Linked DNA regions of Tamandua tetradactyla. The protein of the gene in region 1 interacts with the protein of each later gene in a pairwise test. Links are inferred from orthologs where the notes say so. Each region holds a gene or a part of one and is shown in the gene's direction. Other genes may lie near its edges.

The links.
Region 2: the proteins of HSPD1 (region 1) and TMCC2 interact in a two-hybrid assay, tested with the Homo sapiens proteins (2 studies listed by BioGRID). The two-hybrid records come from large-scale screens. The link is inferred for Tamandua tetradactyla from reciprocal best matches to the Homo sapiens genes HSPD1 and TMCC2.
Region 3: the proteins of HSPD1 (region 1) and SAMD3 interact in binary tests that used the Homo sapiens proteins (3 or more experiments, as listed by UniProt). The two-hybrid records come from large-scale screens. The link is inferred for Tamandua tetradactyla from reciprocal best matches to the Homo sapiens genes HSPD1 and SAMD3.

The regions. Positions count from the first base shown.
Region 1 is NC_135329.1:171,757,428-171,764,839, reverse strand, and holds the start of HSPD1 (60 kDa heat shock protein, mitochondrial), read left to right. Parts: upstream 1-4,340; 5' UTR 4,341-4,456; exon of another isoform or gene 4,457-4,477; intron 4,478-4,485; exon of another isoform or gene 4,486-4,618; intron 4,619-4,700; exon of another isoform or gene 4,701-4,832; intron 4,833-5,740; 5' UTR 5,741-5,742; coding exon 5,743-5,916; intron 5,917-7,092; coding exon 7,093-7,345; intron 7,346-7,412. Other genes in the region: HSPE1 (10 kDa heat shock protein, mitochondrial), read right to left, coding at 2,420-2,470, 2,552-2,641, 3,364-3,528, 4,182-4,184. UniProt on the Homo sapiens protein: Chaperonin implicated in mitochondrial protein import and macromolecular assembly. Together with Hsp10, facilitates the correct folding of imported proteins.
Region 2 is NC_135330.1:62,986,132-62,993,523, forward strand, and holds the start of TMCC2 (transmembrane and coiled-coil domains protein 2), read left to right. Parts: upstream 1-4,288; 5' UTR 4,289-4,741; coding exon 4,742-4,948; intron 4,949-4,972; exon of another isoform or gene 4,973-6,054; intron 6,055-7,392.
Region 3 is NC_135331.1:191,690,539-191,697,552, reverse strand, and holds the start of SAMD3 (sterile alpha motif domain-containing protein 3), read left to right. Parts: upstream 1-3,934; 5' UTR 3,935-4,333; coding exon 4,334-4,412; intron 4,413-4,926; coding exon 4,927-5,110; intron 5,111-7,014.

The DNA.
Region 1 (7,412 bases):
CTCTCTTCTGCCTTCTCCTTTAAAGCCTTCAGCTAATTAGATTAAATGGCACTGATTCTAGAAGACACTCTCCTTGGTCAACTGCAGATGTAATCAGACATGAATGCAATCAACATGCTGATGATTTAATAAACTAGCACAAAATGTCCTTGCACTAATAATTAGGTGAGTGCATGTTTGACCAGACAGCTGGGGACCATCACCTGGCCAAGGTGACACATGAACCTAATCATATCATCCATTTGGAATCTTATTTTTATTCATCTTTCTTCTTCAAAATTTTGTTTCAATAGGAACGAAAGGTAAACCACACATACTTTACTGAATCTTGAAGTTCACACGTAGAATACCCTTATTTTTTGGCCTAATTTTCTCAAGTACTATTGCTAAAACTCTTTTCCTTATTTTCTCAATATAATCTTACAATTTAAAATTACTTCTTCAGCAACTCTGCTAGACAGGTATCACAGAAGTAGAACTATTTGTGTCCTACAAAAATTCAAAAATTCTTTCATTTTTGTTTTGCTTTAGTATGTCTTGGATCTGATGGGGCCCTAAAGTCTTTTTTTTTTTTTTCTTCTCAGTACACCACCTAATTTCAATGATGAATCAAAGTTTGGGAACTATTATCTTAGATCACAAATCTCATTTGTAATCTGCAGCATTGAGGTGCGCAAAGAAAAATCACGGCCTTTAGACTAGATTCCCATTGCAATTTAGGAGCCACATGGCCTTGAACAAATTTCTTCATTCTCAAGTTTTCTCACTAGTCAACAATCTGTGCTCCCAAGATTATGTACAAAACATTATTTGGCTGTGCCTGGAGTACAGCAGGAAATTGCTGCTGTAAGAAAAAAGAGCTTTGTCATACTTGTTTCTAAATGCAAAAAAAACTAAGCCTTAATACACTGGACGGCACATAGGCACATAATATATAATGTACACACATTAAGTTACATATTTTTTTAGTGATAGGATACCTGGTCAAAAGTTGAGACCACTAGTTAATGTTAACTTCATCCACACCTTCAATTCTTCTCAACATAGATAGGAAAGAACGTTCAAAATGTGTTATGACAAAATAGTTCATAAAGAACTAAAACAAGAAAACAGGTTTGATTAAGACAGAAATAGCTGCTGATGTGGTCAAGTTGAGGGGCTGGAAATCCACTCTGGTGGAAAATTATCTGGGTTCAAATTCTCTTTCCCATAGCTGCTACACCTAGACCAAACTTCAACCATGTCAGGGTTTCCATATTAAATCTGATACTAAATATCTACTAATTGCCAGGCACTATTAGGTACCACCCATCACCCACACCACTAGTGATCACCTGAATCAACTAAAGTGCATCAAGTGCAAAGGACAGTCTGACAATATGGCAGACATTCTGAAGTATTGATTTTTATACAGCAGCATCTGGAGGTGGGCAACCTATCTTCAAATCCTGTCACTTCCCATATTACTCAACACCACTCTTCTTCAACTGCAAAAAGTAAATAATACCTAGCTCTGAGGATGACTAAATTGTGACACACACACCCTACCCCCAAAGGCATGATCAGGTCCTAATCCCTAGTCTTATGGGTGTGAACCCACTTTTTTTTATAAGTAGGAACTTTGAATCAGCATGAATCTTTATCCAGTACATCTGAAATCCTCATAAGCAAAGGAAATGACAAAGAAAGAAACCCAGGATACAGCCAGAAACTTAAGTCAAGGGAACCCAGAGGAGAAAGGTGCCACTGTATGCATTACCACATGACAGAAAAGGAACCCCAAGGTTGCCAGCCTGCTAGAAGATACCCACCCAGGGAGGAAGCAAACCATCTAGACATGTAGACAGCACATTGTATGGTAATTGTTTCAGCAGCTAGGAGACTAAAACAGGTCGGTTGAAAGATTAGCAATATTTTGCCTTGGATTTTCCCCTCATTATGAAATAGTCTTGAAAACCGGAAATGCTTATGTCAGGAACTACATTTTTCTACCATGAATGAAGAACTCTACTTGACCACTATAAACTGATTGTTTGAAAGGCAAAATATGGCTACTTGATTTTTCAATTCTTAAACTGCAGGTAAGTGTAAACCCTTGACTTTGTACCAGCATAGATCATTTATGTAATAAAGCTAAAATCAATGTGAATATACATCAACATACAAACCTCATTTCCCAAAATTATCTGTGGGTTACTTTAGAGAACTCACTAAATAAATAAATACACACTAGGCATTCATTTATATATTTTTATTTGGAAATGTTTCTATCAGTACAGTGAAATTAAATTTAAGAGACATTGGATTACCATTAGTTTATTATAAAAGAGAGAGATGAAAATTATTTACATGATGGAAGATTTCAGAACTTCGGTGGAATGGGGAGCGTCACATGATGCCATTTCAATACTGAGCTATTTCACTCTACATACTTCCCAAGAATATCAGCATCTCTAAATAAGAAATAATCCTGCAAACAGAAAAATCATTAAGTTAAGACAGTTAACAGCAAATATTTAACCTCTTTTAAAAGTTACTTTATGTTACACACCTTGTCACCTAGAACTACTTTGGTGCCTCCATATTCTGGGAGAAGAACTTTATCTCCAACCTTCACACTAACTGGTTGAATCTCTCCACCCTAAACAGAAGGACATTTATGAGCAAAGACATGGAGTTCAGCAAACATTTACGCTTTAAATTAATCACATGTTCACTCAAATCAAATGCTAAAAATGCATTTAATGGCCAAGTGATATAATGAAGTGGCTTAAGTCATAAATATTAAGTGTAGAGTTATAATTTGAAATAAACCTTACAGTAGCTTAAACTAAATTAAATTGGGAGAGCTAGCTTTAGCAATTAAAGATAACTTTATAATTGCCAAATACTGTACTATGTTAGTAGCCTATGGGCTGCCAAATGAAACAGTTTTTATAACCATATGCAGCAAAACGATCAATTACAACATACAAAAGTTTAAAAGAACTTTTCTATATTTAGAATATACAATCCTTTTTTGTTATTCTACTTCCTCTCTTCGAATATTATATATTCAGTAAAAGGGACTAAAGCAGAGAGTACCCAGAACCTCCCTACTCCTAACTCCAGACAGTTCTTTGCAAGTAACTTCTAAGAGTTAACCAGAACATCGCATTTAACTTATTTGACCCAAAAGACATTTACTGTGTGTATTGTGGCTGACAGGTCTGAAGTTGAGCCAGAAAACTGAAAAATATCTGAAAGGATAATCCAACCCGTTCCTTTCATAAGGTAAGCCAACTGTGGCCCCAAGGCGTTAAAATAGTACGGCAATTCCAATGTTAGTCAGCAAAAATTAATGCACTTTCAACCCTCATTTACCTTTCCTTTAGATCCCGATCCAACAGCTACTACTGTTCCTTGCAATACTTTTCCTTGAGATTTTTCTGGAAGCATAATGCCTCCTTTGCTTACAGTTTCGGCCGCACACCTTTCAACCAATACTCGGTCCAAGAGGGGAAGAAACTTTCTAAATGCCTGTCCCGCCTGCAGGGAAAAAAAATTTAAACTTGCGGCAGAAACTATACGTAATTATATTCTGAACAAACAAAACCACAGTAACCATTGCATCTCAAACAGGAACCACAGTTTTAAAAGATTAACACCATAATTCACATTCTTAATTCGAGAACACATTTGAGTGTTCGGGCCTACATTCTACGTTAATTCCCCATTCTCTATATAATTAAAGGTCGCTGTTGCTCCTTTGGCCAGATTGGCATTAAAAAGCAACCTTGTTACTCCAAGGTCAGATATTTTCCTTATTTATATTTTTCTAGAAATGCTCAGGCCATGGAGTAAACCCTCCTTCTAAGACCACGCTCTTTTTCCAAGGGTTTACACACCCGCAAAGGCCCCGCAGGAAAAGTCAGCCGCCGCACGTGCGTCCCCGTTCCCGCCCCCTGTACCGCACGCGTGTCGCACCAGGACACTCATGCGAAGAGCCCACGGAGGAAGAAAAGGTCGGCGGATCCTTCGCTCTCGACCCTAGTCTTGGGCACCGTGACAGTCCAGGGTGCAAGCGAGGGAAGGACACCGAATGACCCCTACCCCTCTGGCCAGAGCCCAAGCCACGGTACTGGCTACCGAGCTCTTCGAACCGACCGGGACCACAGAACTCCAGCCTACGCGGGACCCACCATGGCTCCGGTTGCCTTAACTCGTACTCTGCTCCCGCGCCACCACCGCCGCAAGGAGAGGAACCACGGCCCGACCCTAGGAATACGAGAACGTGGAGAAAAGATGTCCAACGCGCAAGCGCGCTCGGCCTCCGACGCCCCGTCCTGCGAGAGAGGGCGGGCGCACAACGCGGGCCGTGATTCGTCCGAGAATGCTGCGCAGGTCGCTGACGCGCGGACAGGAGGGCAGAAGAAAAGAGGAGCTATTTCTAGGCTTTTCTAGGCTGCCTGCCGAGGTAAAAGAATTATCCCTTCGCCCCTCCCGGAAATGACGCAATTTAACCCTTGACCCGCGCGGAGAGCGCGGCGCTTTCCGGAAAGTTCTGGAACGCTGTTTGGCCTGGGAACAAGCCTAAGCCGGCTCGAGAGGGCTGAGCCCCCTGATCTGGCTTTAGCGGGTAGGGATGGGCGGGGCCCACGTATAGCGCGTGCTGATTGCAGGGCCTCCGCCGGGCTAGGGGGCGGGAGCCGGCTGCACATGCGGTGCTGCGGAGCGGGAGGGGCGCGGAGGGAGGGGACACGGGCTCATTGCCGTGTGCGTTCTGCGTTCTGTCCCTCACTCGCCGCTGACGGCCTGCCTCTCCGTCTGCCCGCCCGGCCTTTGCCCCGCAGGTATCCTGCCGGCCCGTGCCGCCTCATCTTGCCGACTCTGGTTTCTTAGCCAGGCTTTTACGGCTGCGGCCCGGCCTGAGTCAGGTGTTGGGAAAGAGCAAGGGCTTCCCGATGGCGCTGCAGGCCCAGGCCTGCTAGGCCAGGCCACGAGGGCCCATGCGGGATCCCATCACGTGGGGCATGGAGTGCGGGACTCCAGGGAGGGCCTAGTTGGCGGGTGGAATTTAGGGAGTTTTAGTTTCGTGGGCCCTCGGTGCAACTCGCTTTGGGTTAACTGCAACGCGCGGGAGAGGGTGGTCGTAGCCGCGTGGAAATCGCTTTTTGCCTCGCGGTCAGCATGGGTACAGCGTCTACACCCTTGACCTTGCTGGGGGCGTCCTGATGAGAGACGTGGGGCCGCGCGGGGTGGGATGGACTGTCTGCCCCCAGCATCGCGGCCTTTTTGGTTCTCAGATACTGTAGCCTCGGGTGGATACATGGAGATACTTACGCTTGAGAGGTCCTTTGCCCTGCCAGGAATATTTTTCGCTTCCATGGTCACTTGGATTTGTAACCTGCCCTTCTCCTGCAGACTTTGTTTTCCAGGGGCTTATTTGGGGTGCATTTGCCTTCGGGGCAGTTTTAACGGTGAAAAGCGAGTTAGTTTTTAGGCATGTGTGGGTAGCTGTTCGGAATGAGATGAATGTGTTGTGCGCTGGTGGTATCGGTCGGACGTTGGGGCGGCTTCACCCTTTAAGCTAGTAGGTAGTGTGCTCTAACCGTGGCTCAGGCAGCATGGCTGGCGGGTGTCTTCCCAGCTCACACTTAATGTTTCATGTTTTATTGCACAGGTAGCGTGTTGTTTGCTGCAACACACTCATGTAGTGATGTAGTGTTAGTACTGATCATCTGCTTGTTTTCTCTCCTAGAAATGCTTCGATTACCCGCAGTCCTTCGCCAGATAAGGCCAGTGTCCAGGGCATTGGCTCCTCATCTCACTCGGGCTTATGCCAAAGATGTAAAATTTGGTGCAGATGCCCGAGCCTTAATGCTTCAAGGTGTAGACCTTTTAGCCGATGCTGTAGCCGTTACTATGGGGCCAAAGGTACCAGTGTTTTATTATAGTTATAACATTAATTAAGGAATAATGTTCTACTGATGGGAAGTCATGAAGTACTGAATACTTTGGTATTCGTTGAAAAAAATCTCACATATAAAAGTTCCAGTTTTTTGATGACTTTTTTTCTTAGCTAAAATGTCTTAAGCTCTTCAACCCAATTTTCAAAACTATATTTTGTGCAAATGTACAATGTAATGAAGTGTTAGCTCAGCTCAGTATTTTTCTTTTCGTTCGTTTTTTTTTTTTTGTGCTTGGGCAGGCACCGCGAATCGAACTTGGGTCTCCGTTCTCCCGCTTGGCAGGCGAGAATTCCCGCTGAGCCATCGTTGCACCGCCCCAGAGAACTAATCTTGCTTGCTAGCTTGAGTTAAATTTTGGATTTTCCCAGGAAGAATGCTAATTATAGAAAGAAGAGTGTAACTTTTCTACCATAATACCTCAAGTATACACTTACAGGGACTAGTTGTACCCAGTTTTTTCCTGCTGTTCCAAAGGGCATTTAAAATTCTAAATCTTGTTCACGCTGAAGTTATTGGTGAGTGCAGATAATAAGTGATTGCAGGTAGCCTTCATTTCATATTGAAGATAATTCAAATATTAAAGTGATCCAAACAACTGCATAAAATACGACACTTGCATTCCCCATGTAAAAGGAGCAGTTTTTACTGGCTTAAATCCAAAAGCTGCCAATCTTGTTGCATCATGCTTGAGGTTTAATATTGAAGAAACTTGGAAGAACACATTGCTCCTGGCTGACTCGGTATGTTAGTAATTAGATTTTGAAATGTCATCATTTTAAAAGATAGCAGTCACTAACTAAAACTAAGGTATAAATGTTTTGAAGAATACTATCATTGTTATCTACTAACTTGGTGTTGGTTATCCTGTACTTATTTGTTTTGAAAGATGACATCTGGTCCCTAGAATTATCTCCCATAGTACCTCATCCAAAGTTATGCACTTGACTGAGCAACAGAGAGGTCATTTTGTCTGTAAACTAAGAACATGGAGGAATTTGCCCTTGAGTTTCTTGCTATAGCCCTGTTAAAAATGATACAACTTATGTTGAGGCTTTCAAGTAGTTCCTGTATTATGAAACTGTTCATTGTCTAAGCCTCTGCAGTTTGTGATCCTCTCACCTTTTATTCTTTGCGATTTTAGGGAAGAACAGTGATTATTGAACAGAGTTGGGGAAGTCCCAAAGTAACAAAAGATGGTGTGACCGTTGCAAAGTCAATTGACTTGAAGGATAAATATAAAAATATTGGTGCTAAACTTGTTCAAGATGTTGCAAATAACACAAACGAAGAGGCTGGGGATGGTACCACCACTGCTACTGTCCTGGCACGCTCTATTGCCAAGGAGGGCTTTGAGAAGATTAGTAAAGGTGCTAATCCAGTGGAAATCAGGAGAGGTAAGAAAATTACAGTGTTTTGAACTTAGTTTTCATAAGAAAACATTGATTCCCTGTCCCTGCACAT
Region 2 (7,392 bases), on another chromosome or scaffold:
TGAAATAAACCATGATATATTCGCTTGATATAATATTAAGAAGTCATCAAAAATGTTTACTTATACATATTAAAATATGTCTGACATAATAACATATGGAAAAAGTAATAATATATGGAAAATGCATTTATTTTAAATAAGACAATAAAATATACAATTCTATATTTAGATTACAGTTCTATTTTTTAAAACTCCACCTATTTAAAGAACAGAACGACCTCTCAAGAATGTAAACATTGTTTATATTTGGACAGAGCTTATTTTCATTTTTTAACTTTTCTGAGTTTTTCAAATATTCTTTGAAGAATATGTATTACTTTTATGAGGTTTCTGGATACTTAACAGTGAAAAGGATGGATGATAACAAAAACAGCAATAACCTTTATAAGCAGCACAATTTAGGTTTATGGTTGCTCAGGGAAGAAAAAAAACAATTTATGCCAAACATGAAAGCAGCTGAAAAATCCTCCAGATGGTTTAGAAGAACTCCCACATTCCCTACCTGATATCGCCACCTGCATTCTCTCCTGATAAAATAGCAAATACATTTTTAGATTGGAAAATAAAATCCTAGGTTCTAGAATAATAAATGAAGTCATTTTAGGGGCCAGAAAGTTCCATGCTAGATACTGATGTGGAATCACTGAAGATGATCGGCCACCACCCAGACAACTGATAAATCTTTAGCAGCGCAGACCTTTCTCCACCTCAGGAGTGATGCAGAGTCTTCCTAGCCGCCCCCTCCCTGCTTCTTATAAAAGCCAATAATAAGCTCGAATTTAGGTGGTGGGATTGTGATGTCAGCAACAATCCAGCCAATCTCCTTGGTGATCATTTACATAGTTTACTCCTTCTGATTCAAGGGAACCCAGTTTCTTTTAGGGAGAGCTTTGAATGGATGTGGGAATCTCCAGCAGAAAGAGAATAAAGTGACATTAACAAAGGAATATTTATAATGATGTTAGTATTAAAATACAGTGGTCAAAATTATTATATCTAGTTCCTCTAGAGAATACTTGTAACTTCCAAGCACTGTACACAGTATGTTAAATCTTAAAATAGCTCTCTATCTACTCATTTGATATTTAAAACACGTCTTTGTTTTTTTTTTAAAAATTCCTACAGAGGACAAAAAAAATCTTGAGATAATCTACAAGCCTCTTGCTATTGGCAAAAAGAGAGTCTGCTTCTGAGACTTGACTGCTTTTACAAAACGGAAAAAAAAAATCTACCTTATACAGTTGCTCTTGGCACCTTATCCTCTATAATAACACTTCATCAGTTTATCAAATTTTATGAACGGGCTTTTGACAGGGAGCTGGATTCTTTAACCCTGCTCTTTATCTTCTTGTTTATTGATGTACTGGTTTGGGGGAGGGGAGCTTTCATTAGCCTAACTTGGATCTCCGTTCACAAAAAGCAGTAAGCTTTGTGGCATAATTCTGCTTTTCTTGCGTGGCGACAGGAGGCCTGGGCAAGTTTGTTAATGATTTCTTTCATTCAGGTTTACTGACCGTGTATTATGTGAGCACATTCTATCAAGTAACTCTATGGTGGGCCATGTGTTAAGCGTTTTCACATGCATTATCTAGTTTAATCCTCCCGAAAACTCCATGGGGTTAGGTATTATTAGCACCTATTTCTAGATAAGAAAGCCAAAGTTGACAGAAGTTCAATCATTTGGTTGTCCAAGAACACACCAGAAGAAACAGTACCAGAATTCTTACATGAATTTTTCTGACACCAAGACCAGTATTCTTCCCACTACACCATGCTATTTATCTGTGATTAACTAGTTCTGCCAAAAACAAAATGGAGAATGCTATTTATTTCTACATGCTGAACATCATCTCTTGCATTGCAAATCTGCAAATTGTAGGTCACACAGGTCTCTACACAGACTTCCCACTCAAACATCTTTGACAGCAACATATTTGTTCAATAAGTGATACTCAGTGAAAGTCGGAAATGTGTGGGACGCATCTGAATTCTCACGGATAGAACTATTAGAGTGGAACGTGGAGCCCTTTTGAAGCTAGATGACAACTGCGATAATAACTATAGGCCTCAGTCTATGCCAGGCAATGTTCTAAGTGCTTTATCTATATATCACCCAACACCCTCTGAGCTAGGTACTGTCATTTCCCTCAGGAAACTAGGATCTAAAAAGATTAGATAACTTGCCCCCAGACACATGATCTGGGATAGAAGAACCAGGATTTGTCCCCAAACATTGTTACTACAGAATCTGAACTTTGAAACATTATGTTACACTGCCTATCCAAAATGGAAGTCAAGTATTAGCTGATTTCAGGGAACACACCAGACTTTTTTGTGGAGGTGCATCACACCTTGCTAAATATGACCACAAATTGGAAATTTGGCCATCATGCCATGTGTATATGAAAATATTAAAATCAAACTTAAAGTCAAATTCAGTGTAGCAGAGAAATGAGGAATGATTCAAAATGATAATGGTCTCTGCATCTTTAAAAATTCAAGCCTAATTCCATCCATTTTCTTCAATTTAGAGTCAGGTCTTGAACATGTGCTAACACGTGCTCACCACGTGCTGGCCACTGCCTGCTATTCAAGACCTGCCTGGGGTGGAAGCGGGGTGGGGGTGGGGTGAGGGTTGGGGGGGTTGGGGGGGGCTAGTCCTAAATCCCGCCACTGTCAACACTGGCATTTTGCCTTTTCCTCACCACAGAAAATGTAGAAAGCACAGAGCTTTGTGTTTCTACATTGTGCTTGGTACTGGGGTGGGGGGTTGGGGGGGGTTCTACAATCCCAGCCCATCCTAAATTTCTATTTTCTAAAAATGTAGCTGCCTGGTTTAGAAGGTAGCTGCCTTTCTGAAGTAAATTCTTAACCATTTAGTCCCTCATAAGATACACATTAATATGAGTGTTTGGAGCCGGAAGAAGACAGAATTGAAAGCCAGGAAACTCAAGACTAGCAGAACTGAAGTGAGACTGGAATGGCATGAAAGAGATCGGTAAACTGTAAAATTCTTTAGACATCATCACTGTGACTCAGAGATCCAGTGGTCCCTTCAGTCTGAGTGGTCCCTTCACCACAGTTTAGGCCAACGGTCCCCAAATTTTAGCGTGCATCAGCATGACATCTGGAGGGCTTAAGAGCTTTCTGAGCCCACTATTTCTGATTCAGTAAATCTGGGTGGTCCCTGATAGTTTTCATTTCCATCAAACCTGAGGTGCTGCCAGTCAGTCGGGGGACGACCCTTAGACCCACTGGTCTAGGCTGCTGGGTGGGCAAAACCCATCTTGCCACAATAGGCGTGCAGCAGGCACTTGGGTGGGGCTATTATTACTAGGTTCCCTGTCGTGATAAGCCCAGCACTTGCTTTCTTCTGCCTACTGGTTGCTCAGCACAGTTTGACAGAGGCTTACAGAAAAAGAGACATTCCTTTCCCACTCTTCCAAATGTTTAGACCTCCTGCCATGAATAACCCTTTCTTATTTAAATGATGCTTTACGGTTTGCAAGGAACGCTTACATACATTATTGTGTTTAAGAAGCATTTTCCAATATCTGAGCATAAAGATAAGCAATGAATCATTTGGGATAAGTACTAAAGTGGGGGGAGGGGAGAAGGGGCAGAAGAACACCTTCCTCCCGTTGCATTTGCAGCTCAAAATGTACTCAGGTCAAGTGCACGCGAGGGGCTCAGTTTCTTTCTTATTGAAGGGATGTATATAATCTAACGTGCAAAGTTAGAGCAAAAAAAGGGCAGTGATGATACACATCCCTGTTGTGCCTCCTCTACGCCATGTAAAATGAGTGGGTGGGGGGAATCCCATGAGTGCCCTCTCGGAGAGGGTCCCTCAAGCAGCTGCTAAAATCGCGCGGCCATCGCCCACCGCCCCCGCCCCTACTCCGCAGCCCGCTCTCCGCAATGCTAAAACGCAGCAGCATCGCCCTCCAGATCTCTCCAGGGGAAATCTCACAGTGCAACCAATCCTACAAACGTCGGCGAGAGACGCGCCCGCAGCCCTTCGGGCTTCCCATTGGCTCGTTGCCGTTGTCACTCCCTCCTTGTCTCTCCTTCCCCCCTCCCCCCCCTCCGCCCCGGCGGAGGCAGACGGAGGGGCGGGGTAGGTTGCGCGCTCGCCGCCCGGCTCTGGCGCGGGCCGCGGCTTCGCGGCGGGCTGCTGGGCGGGAGGGGGAGGGGGAGGGGGAGGGGGCCGGGCGCGTTGCGGGCTCCGCGGCCGGCCGGGGCGGGGCGGGGTGGGGGCGCGCGGCGAGGCCGGGACTGCAGCTGGCTCAGAGAGCGGCGGACGAGGACCTGCCTGGCTGACTGTCCCATGCTCTGCCTCGCCCAGCAGCTTGGCCCGCCGGGAGGGATGCGCTGTGCAGCACAGCACCCACCCGCCCTGTCCATGCCTGAAGCAGAAAGTTTGGGGGTCGGGGGCAGTCTTGCCCCTCCCCCGCCAATGACTGCCCAAGGACTCCTGCTGCCCAGCCTCGATTGTGACCTGTCTGCTACTCCTCAGGTCGTAGTGAACTATTCCAAGCTGTAACCAAGGCTCCCTTTCCTCGCCCCTTCCACATCCTCTTTTTTAATATATATTTTTTTAATTTAAAAAATTACACTCCCACCCACGCCCTTGCTAATAATTTAAACCCCCGGCCTCATTTCTGAGAGTAAGAGGGGGTGCGGTCTTCCCCCAAGCCGGCGCGCTGGAAGGACAGATTCCCCTTGCCGACCCACATACACCATGAAGAGGTGCAAATCCGACGAGCTTCAGCAACAACAGTGCGAGGAGGATGGAGCTGGGCTGGAAGATGCTGCTTGCCACCTGCCGGGCGCAGACCTCCGTCCTGGGGAGGGCACGGGTGCTAACTCCGCTGGCGGACCAACTTCAGATGTGGGTGCTGCCGCGGCGCCCAACCCGGGTCCCCGAAGCAAGCCTCCTGATTTAAAGGTGAGCTCAGACCCTCCCCTGGAAAGCTCAGCCAGCGACTTAGCTTTCCCCAACCCTCGTGGAAGTGCTCTGACAGGATAAAAGTGATGGGAAAAGGAGACTAAGGTCAGAGAGGATGAGCGGATGTTGGGTTAGAACCCTGGGTGGATGCAGGTACCATTGGAACCTCTGTCTTTCAGCTGCATTTCAGGCCTCTATGTTTGTTCCCCATTATTCAGCAGACGTTTCTAGTGACTCACCCATCTGAGAAGATTGTTTGAATAATGTGTGTGAAGTGCTGTTCCAGACAAAGGGCTGGAGAAATCCAGGATGCTAACTAAAAAGTTGACATCACTTTCCCTCCTGTAGGATAGCAATGGGAGAAAATTGCAGTGTGGGAGGCAAAGCAGGTGATGGTCAGTTTCGGTTGCTGAATTAGTTTCCTCCCTCTGGGATCTTTGAAGGCCTTCCTGGAGCTCAGTTTGTCCATCTGTGAAAGGGGGCAGTGGATTTCTTACCATTAGGTGGAGCCAGAGGTTAAGCCAGTGCTTAGAGATCCCTGCCTGCCTGTCGTAGCTCCAACCCTCAGGGTGGAGAACTGACAGGTGGCGCGAGTGGAGCTTCGGTAGGTTTGGGGCCTCAGTTCAAGTTGCACACATGCTGAGCTGGCAGCTAGAACCAGAACCCAAAGGAGCTTTCATATGCAGCTGGGAGTCGTTTATTTTCTGGCCTGAGGTTGCTGAGACAATTGCTGAGCTGTGAATATTATATGTATATAATTTTAATTGATATATATATCAATTAAAACAGCAGCCAGAATAAATAATGCACCTTTGCTGGTGCTGCCACAGGGACTGCAGGCTCAGGCTTCTCAAGCTGGCTCACGAAGGGGCTGAGAGAGATGTCAGCCCAAGAAAGGAACTTAGATGGCTTGGAAACTGATGCCTCAGAGAGATTTTTCTCTGGAGGGGGTGCAGGGTCTGGGCTAGGGGAGTGGAAAGGACTAGGTTACATTAAATAAAGCCTGTATCCTATGGCAGCAGCCACTAAGGAGTTCCCCAGAATAAGCCAATGACATTCCTCATTTGGCCTGAGCAACTCAGAGTCAAGAAGCCACTGGGGCGCAGGTGAGTGTGCTCTTACCTATATATGTTACTTGTCTGTATTCCTTGGCGAGCGGCACGAAGGGAGACAGCTGACTTTTTGTTGTGTGTACTTTTAAAAAATTGTGCTAGTTTTTCAAATGTGGTCTTTGGTTCTGCTGCTGCCTTTTCAGAGGTTTGGAACTAACCTTAGTTCTAAAAGATGAGTTCCTTTGGATAGTCTCTGCATAGGAAGCTTGTATTTTAACCAGGCCCAGGGAACCCTGGTATCTTTCCCAGATATCACCCCTGAGCCTACTCTGTCATCAAGAGGTGCCGTTCCTGTTTTAAGTGAGATGGTGAAGGGAACAGGGTCCATTGATGCTCTTGTATAGAGGGGTTGAGCCTCCTGCTGCAGACTTCACCCTCATTCTGGCTTGTTCTGAATGAGTCTGGCCAGCAAAGTCTGATTCCTTGACCAGATAGGGGTCTATGAGAGGCAACCTTGGAAACTTCCCTAGTCTCCGTCTCATAGTTGCAGGCCAAAGTGGAAACTGCTGGTTCCATTCATTCTCCCACCCTTCATTCATCCCACCACCCCACGTTGCTTTCATTGGGAAAGCTGGACGGTATCTTTGTCTCTGTGGACAAAACTGCCTTAAGCAGCTTGTTCATCTCCACCGACCTTTATTATTTTTTCTCTTTTTATGGGGATTTCCTCATTCTGGGCAGGGGCAGATGTAGCAGCAACTCTGCAGTTGCTACTACCCTGCTGAATTTCCCTGAAACAAAATTGATATCAGGTGTGAGAAAAGGAGTCCCCTAGAGATAAAATACTACTAAGGTCAATTGCTGCTGTTTAGACCCAGACTGACAGCAAGGAGGAGAAAACAGCTCAGTGGGAGCCTGGGGAACAAGCAGGGCCGTTTCCTGTTTATCTGTGTCAGCTTCATCACAACATGTTTACAGGCAGGACGTCAGAACGGGTGTGAACTCCAGGACCACTGCAATCTGAATTGTTGTGTGGTCTCAGGAAAATCACTCAACTTTTCTGAGCCTCTTTCTGGAGAAAGGGACTAGAAATATTGGAGTGTGTTCCGGCTTGTTTCCCAGGCACGGTTTTCCAACGATGGAAAAATTCCATCATTGGCTCAGGAACTCGGTAAAAGCTTGAGCAATTGTAGATTTGACGGTGGTACCAGAAAGAGGCAAGTTTAATTTTTAACACCTCCCACTCCATATTCATGTTTGGTCAAGGCAGAGCAGCGGTTCTGGCTTGATTTTGTTTTCATTCTAAACTTTGGAGATAAGTAACTTTTGGGTCCTAGCCTCTGCTTCTGTTTTCTTCAGGCGTTGCAATGGTTTTCGTGTGTTGGAGGGAAT
Region 3 (7,014 bases), on another chromosome or scaffold:
TCAAAAACACATTATTATGCAACTACACATATATGCGCATATCCATATATATGCCACCTCTCAAAACCTTCTCCCTTCAGAGGTGACAAGTTCCAGCCACCTGGGACCACCTGTTTCCGCCCTCTGGCATCCACCCGGCACCTGCAAAGAGAGGTTTGCTTTCTTTCAAGAGCGGCCACCCACCTGGCTGATGCCATTCAGAAAAGACAAAACAAAAAAACACACGTGCCAGTTCTCACGCTTTGCTGCTCGTAAGAATCACTGGAAATGATTAAAAATACTTATATGGAGTCTCATTCCATGCTCAGAACTTTTAATTTTTCAAGGGAAAATGACTTTTCTAAAGTTTAATAGCCTGTAGACATACCCTAAAGCAAATCTATGGGACAAATGTGTAACTTAAGTTACATATTGTCTTTAAAAGTATAACTTTCCTGATAATAAAAATAAAAATCTTTCATTGGGACATTTTGAGAGAAGCAAAGTCTACAACAAAATGCATGAATTTCACCAGACAGAGAAAACTTCTGTCACCTATCAGTACATGTTTTAACAGTCTTTGGGCTACACATACACTTTAGTCTATTTTAATTTTACTCTTTCCACGGAACTGAATCATATTTATTTTAAAACCTATTTTCACCTAAGTATATTTCATGACAGTTCCTCCATATTATTATTCTAAAACACAAATGTTCATAGCTGCATAGTACTCTTATTTTCTGTATAAATCATCAAAATTCATTAGCCGTTTGAGATGGGACTGGACGGGGTGGGACGAGACTGGATGGGACTGGATGGGGCGTGGCTGGAGGGGGCGGGGCCTGGTGAAGTGTGGCTGGCGTGGCGTGGGGGGGGAGTGGTGGGCGTAGCAGATGGGGCAGAGCGCGGCAGGGCTGGATGGGGCGTGGCGGGGGAGTGGTGGGTGTGGCTGGATGGGATGGGGTGGGTGGGGTGCGTCGGGGCGGGGCGGGATCACAGGCCGGATGACCATGCTGGCCGGGCTCTGCCTTTTTGCTGTCTTTTCCCATGGATTTAATTGAACCTCCCAGACAAATCGTAAATTTGCAAACTATAACTATAAAAGCTATAAAATGTTATTTACTGTCACGTCCCACTTCCCCTCACCTTCAGGTTCTTGGGAATGTTGTGCATGACGGACGACATCCGTTTGGCTGAAGAAAACTACCAAGTTTTAGTCGTTTTCCCCCAATCCAGGCTTTAATCAACATGTTCAGCCAGACGCACTTCCGGGTTGTGACTCGCACTTGTACGAAAGTGGCAGCCCCCTGGGCCCCACCTGTCGGTCGGCCAGGTAAATGTCCCTCCCTCACCTGACGCGCAGAGGAAAGCGCGCGCCTTGCTTCCGCGCGTGCCCAAGGCACGGCAGGGCGCCCGGACCCCAAGGCTGCACAGATTTTAGGGCTCATCTGGTCTAGTCTTACAGGCCACGAAACTGACGCAAATAAATGGACGTGGACAGCTGACATATACAAAAAACGGTAAACACACCAGCCAAAAACAAGTGTTTAAGAGCTGAATACAAGCAGATATCTTTTCTAGACTGAAGGAATGCTCAGGCGAGGCGAGGCTTGCCCTTCCCTTCCCATACACATCTTAGTGCAAGGAAGAGCTCTGGGGCGGGCCACGGTGGCCCGGGTTCGATTCCCGGTGCCTGCCCATGTAAAAAAAGAGAAAGAAAAGAAAGAGCTCTGTCCCGCTGGGGAAAGTCTGGAACCTGCTGGGGCAGGTTAAAGGGAGCAGGAGGGGAGTGACCCTAAGGCCCCGACAGAAAGCCCCTTTCGGCCGCGCGCACACCTACTTCCCTATGCGCGCGCGCGCACACACGCCCCTGGCCCTCTGCCGCCCCTGGCCCTCTGCCGCCCCTCCTAGTCCTGACAAGGCAAGGACCTGGGACCTGTCCTGGGACACCCAGCGCTCACCTCCCTCCTGGTGTGTGTCTCCTGCACGCTCGCGTCCTGAACTGCACACCCGGCCCGACCGCAGTATCTCTATATGTTCTTGAAAAGCACCTGTATATCTCACTGGAGGCCGCATTCACAGCACACTCACAGTTTCCTTATTACCCTCCTTTAGAGTTTTAATAAAACTTGCCCATATTTAGGTAGCTTTAACCCAAGTCTTACCTTTTCCTGGCTTTCATCAGATAATACCTTCTCATATTTGATACCAATGTCTTTGATTGAAGTTTACTTTAATCACATCACAAGAATGGCTTTGACTGGAGTATTTACACAATGCTAGTGTTAATTCGCTTGAAATACTTAGGGATAATGCTTGCCCTCACATTTTGAAAGTTTCTGAAACTCAGAATAAAGCTGCTGGATGCATTTTTTTTTCTCATTTGATGCATCCTTTTCCCTCTTTAGGGAGTAGAGGATCATAAATAATCTCTCCATTATTTACTTGAGAGGAAGTTCTAAGGTCGCTCCTGGCTTTAATATGCTGCCTTGTCTGTTATTTCATTTTCTTAAATATTGAGAATAATTAAGGGCAAATGCTATACTATTTTCTTATTATGTTTTTATGGGGTTTTCTTTCCCAAATATAGAATTGGGTGAAAATTGGGGAATGAAAAAATATGTGAGGGTTTCCAGTAGCTCATCTTATTTTCAAATGTCCCTTTGCCCTTTGCTGCCTGCTGGGCAGTGTCTTCTGCCTGGCGCACCTTTGAATCTTGGAGTTCAAAGAAGTGTTTTCTTTTTTCTTTCTTTTCTATTTTTTTCTATGTCCTTCTCTTCACAAGGAAGCCAGAAGTGTGACAGAAAGGTGTGATTTTTAATTTACACCAGAGCCTCACAAATAATGACTTTTCACACCCTGCTACAGCTGCTTAGCCAGGAGAGGAGTTGTGTGGTTGCTGTTGTGTAGCAAATTAAATCCACTGCTGTAATTCAGAAAAAAAACTCTTCTGTATTTAACCCTTGTTTTTAACTTTTCAGCTGGGTGTTTGTGAATACTTATGAGAGTGTGGGTTATTCCTTTGAACTGTACTTGTTACTTTGAAGCATACCTGTTACAAGATTTCTAGGAAATGATTTTTGAAGGCTGTTACCTTGTCATACTGTCAAGTATGAAATGATAAACATGTTTTCGTTTTCCATCATTGTAACCATGACGTTGGAAATGGAAACTTATTTAAATACACAGAGGTGAAAAATACAATAACAGTGATTTTTAAAACTTCTAGCAATGACATTTAAATATGTGCACTAATAAACATTTTTTCTCTTTCCTATCTCACTTCTCCAAACATAGTTTTTTCCTCAGTCTTTATAAAAAGTGTTTTGCTGTACAAGTGAATGTCTATCATTTAGATTGCAGGATGAAATTGAAAAGTTATGTTGAAAGATTTAAATGTTTTATGTTTTTCAGTTTCCCCCCAGTCTCTTAAACCCTTCTAAAAACAAGTAATGAGCTGCCTAAAGGAAATGGAAAAAAATATTGTATTATTGCTTGAAATTTTCTAAGTATATGCAGAACAGTATCATGCAAAAATAAGTGGACAAAGAATATATTTTGCAAATTCTGTATACATTGCTTTCATTTAGGCAACAATTAAAGTACCTAATGATTTTCTGCTTTGAATCTTCCCAGATGAACAAATAAAAAGTTTTCCAGCAATGTGCTCGCTTTTCCCAGTTATCTTGCCAATCCTAAGAGTGTTCAATAAAGGTCTAGAACTGAAGGGAATATGGAAGAGAGGATAGAAACATTCAGAGTCTCCTAAAAACTTTAGTGCCTGTTGCCCCCTCTTGCTAAAGGGAAGCCAGAGAAGCCGATGTCAGCTCTTCTCCTGCAGCAGCTGCCAAGGGTTAAGCAGCTGGCTGACTGTCTCCTTCAGGCTTTTCTCGGATCCTCCCTCCCCTGCACACCCTTTTGTGAATGTCAGCCACTTCCTGAGAGCCCTGCAGTGGTGAATTTCACACTTTTCTTTCTCTGTGAAGAAACCTGGTGCGAGTGGTGCGGGACTGGATGCCTTGCAGGGCTGTGGCTGCCGGTTAGTGAAGCTGAGGGATGCCTGTGGGGAAGAAGCGAGGAAATTTGAGAAATAGGAGGTGGAAATAGGCTAAAATCAGCCTTCGTTTTTAACTGAGTATTTGCTCTATGAGCCAGCAACTTTGTGTATTATAAAAATAGTCATTTTGAAGACCCTTAAAATTGAGAGTTTGCAAGAGTCTGGCAAAGGAGGGAACTGAAAAAGAGAGCTGACCGCTGGGAAAACGTGAGAGAAGACAGAGGAGAAGGGAAGACTGAAGACTCCCCCCCTGGCCTGGTGTCCACTCTGCGGGTGGAGTGGCAGGAGGCTGCGATGGAAACGTGGTCAGTTGATCAAGTCTGCAGTTGGCTGGTGGAGAAAAGCTTGGGAGAGCTGGTTCACAGGTTTCAAGGTGAGCTGCTTACACTTAGAAAGACACGAGTTATGGGGCCTCCCAGACATTCTGAGTGTCCTCTGTTGTTGAATGTTGATTTCACTGCCTCGTGTGTGTGTATGTACGCGTGTGCACTTGTGCATTTGGATGTGGCGTCCGGACAGGAGGAAACTTCCATTTCTTTATTTATAGCAGGAGTTTCAATTTGAGCCTCCACAGGAATATAAGAACTTTCAAGCAGTTAGATAAACTCCTAAGTTATTTAAAAGACAAGTGGTAAGTGCGTTTGAATTGCTTTTATTCTTTGACGAGGCAGCACTATTTTTTGTGTAGTGTTGAAGTCCTACTACTAAGAACAGTGGCCCACACTTTCTTTCCTCGGAAAACCACTGCCTGTTATGAAGACGGGGGTGGGGGTGGCGGCTGAGGCGGCGGTGGGCTTCCCATCACAGCCGGGTCGGGTTAGGGTTAGGGTTAGGGTTAGGGCACCTCCGCGGAGGAGGCGCGGATATATATATTTTCTTTTTCCCAGAGGAAGAAGTGAGTGGGGCTGCTCTGCTAGCTCTTAATGACCGGATGGTTCAGCAATTGGTGAAGAAGATTGGGCATCAGGCAGTTCTGATGGATCTGGTGAAAAAACACAGGCACAACAGCGCGGGTATGCGGGGGCCGCCACGCCCTGGAGCACCGGCTCGGCCGTGGACGGTGGCCTGGGGGTGAGTGCCCTGTCCGGGGGTGAGTGTCCTGCCCTGGGTGAGTGTCCTGCCTGCCCCGGGGTGAGTGCCCGGCCCTGGGGTGAGTGCCCTGCCTGCCCGGGGGTGAGTGTCCTGTCCGGGGGCAGTGCTCTGCCCAGGGGTGAGTGTCCTGCCCAGGGTGAGTGCCCTATCCCGGGGGGAGTGCTCTGCCCAGGGTGAGTGTCCTGCCCAGGGTGAGTGCCCTGCCTGCCCGGGGGTGAGTGCCCGGCCCTGGGGTGAGTGCCCTGCCTGCCCGGGGTGAGTGTCCTATCCCGGGGGGAGTGCTCTGCCCAGGGTGAGTGCCCTGCCTGCCCGCAGCATGGTGCCCGGCCTCAGACCCCATGAACAGCCACAGCTATTTACTGCTGGGTTGCAGATTCAGGACACTTTAGCAACGTTTTATGAATCGAGACACGGTGTGTATTTGGAAGGATGGGGGACTTTTAAAAATCCCTCACTCGATGCACACCGGCCCCAGCTCCTGGGGTAGCCAGCAGCAGGTGGGTCTTCTCTGCCCGGCCCCAGCTCCTGGGGTAGCCAGCAGCAGGTGGGTCTTCTCTGCCCAGCTGGGGACAGGCATGGGAGATGGGCAGAAATGACCCCGGGGGGGGGGGGGGGGAATACAACTCGGGGCTGGGAAAGGCATCTTCGGCTGCTTCTTTGATTTTCCCAAAGCTGTTTATTTATTTACTAAATGGTTAGTTAGCTGGTGGTTGCCAAGGATTCCCTGTGGTAACTAATTTATACTCTCTAGAGATCTCCACAATGTAATTTGCTAAACGCTCTTGCCACGATGGGCTTCAGTTTGCTCCCGGTATCCCTGGAATACTAAGCACTAGGGCAGGTGCCACAGAGATCACACCGAGAAGTCTGTGGCAGCAGAGAAAAGCTATGAGGTTTGGAGGTGTCTTCTGTTTGTTTGCTTTTTATCATTGATTTCTGCAGTGAAAAGGAATGCTAGTAGGAAATAAAAAATTAAAAATTTCATCTTACAAAACCCCGGGATCATCCCAAGCATTCTGCAGGATTTCTAAGGTTAGATCATTGCCGTAGACAAATCTTTTAAAAATAATACTTGAGATTTGGTGAAATCCAGTCTACTTTTATTTTAAATTTTAAAGCTTATATCTGTGGTGATGTTTATTTTTCTCTTTCTCTTTGATGAACAATACGATGTTGGAAAGCTGGGTTTAAGTAATTTCATTTCTAGGATGCTTGGATAATTGGGACATGGAGGGGGCAGGTAGGATAGAAGGATTGGATTGGGGGTGAGCAAATTTCTTTTTTCTGGAATCTGATTTATTTGAAGGACTTCTCCTAAACTCTGCTTTGGCATAGCTACATAAAAACACACTCTTCAACATGAAGTTTTGGTGAAGTTCCTGTTGCACGCTTTCGCCCCTTCCCCACCACGGAAGGGAGAGGACTTCAAAGAGAACTCAGAATAATTTCCCGGCATCGCTGGACGAGTAGGCGTCAGAGCCGGGAGTCCCGTTCAGCGGCTGGAATCTTCATAGCGCCTTAGGCAGCGCTTGGAAGCAAACCAGCAGCCTTGTTTCCGCTGCACATCAGTTTATGATGTTCTCTAGTAAATAAAATCGCGCCTGATGCCGGGAAATCTGGGCCTCAGTCCTGGTTGTACCACTGCTGTGGCTTGGTCATGTTGAATGGCCGCGTCCCTGGTTCTTTACCTGCAGCTTGTGAAAAGCAGCCGGGCTCCTACGGCCCAGGCCTCCCCCTGCTGTGAGGGGCACCATCCCCTTCGGGCAGGACTCCCCGTCCTCTCCCAGACCAGGACAGTCCTATGTGAAATACCAAGCTTTGTTAAGCTGGTCAAGAAAGCTGGTTTCAAACCTAGCCACAATTTGGTTGCCCAGGATTTAGGG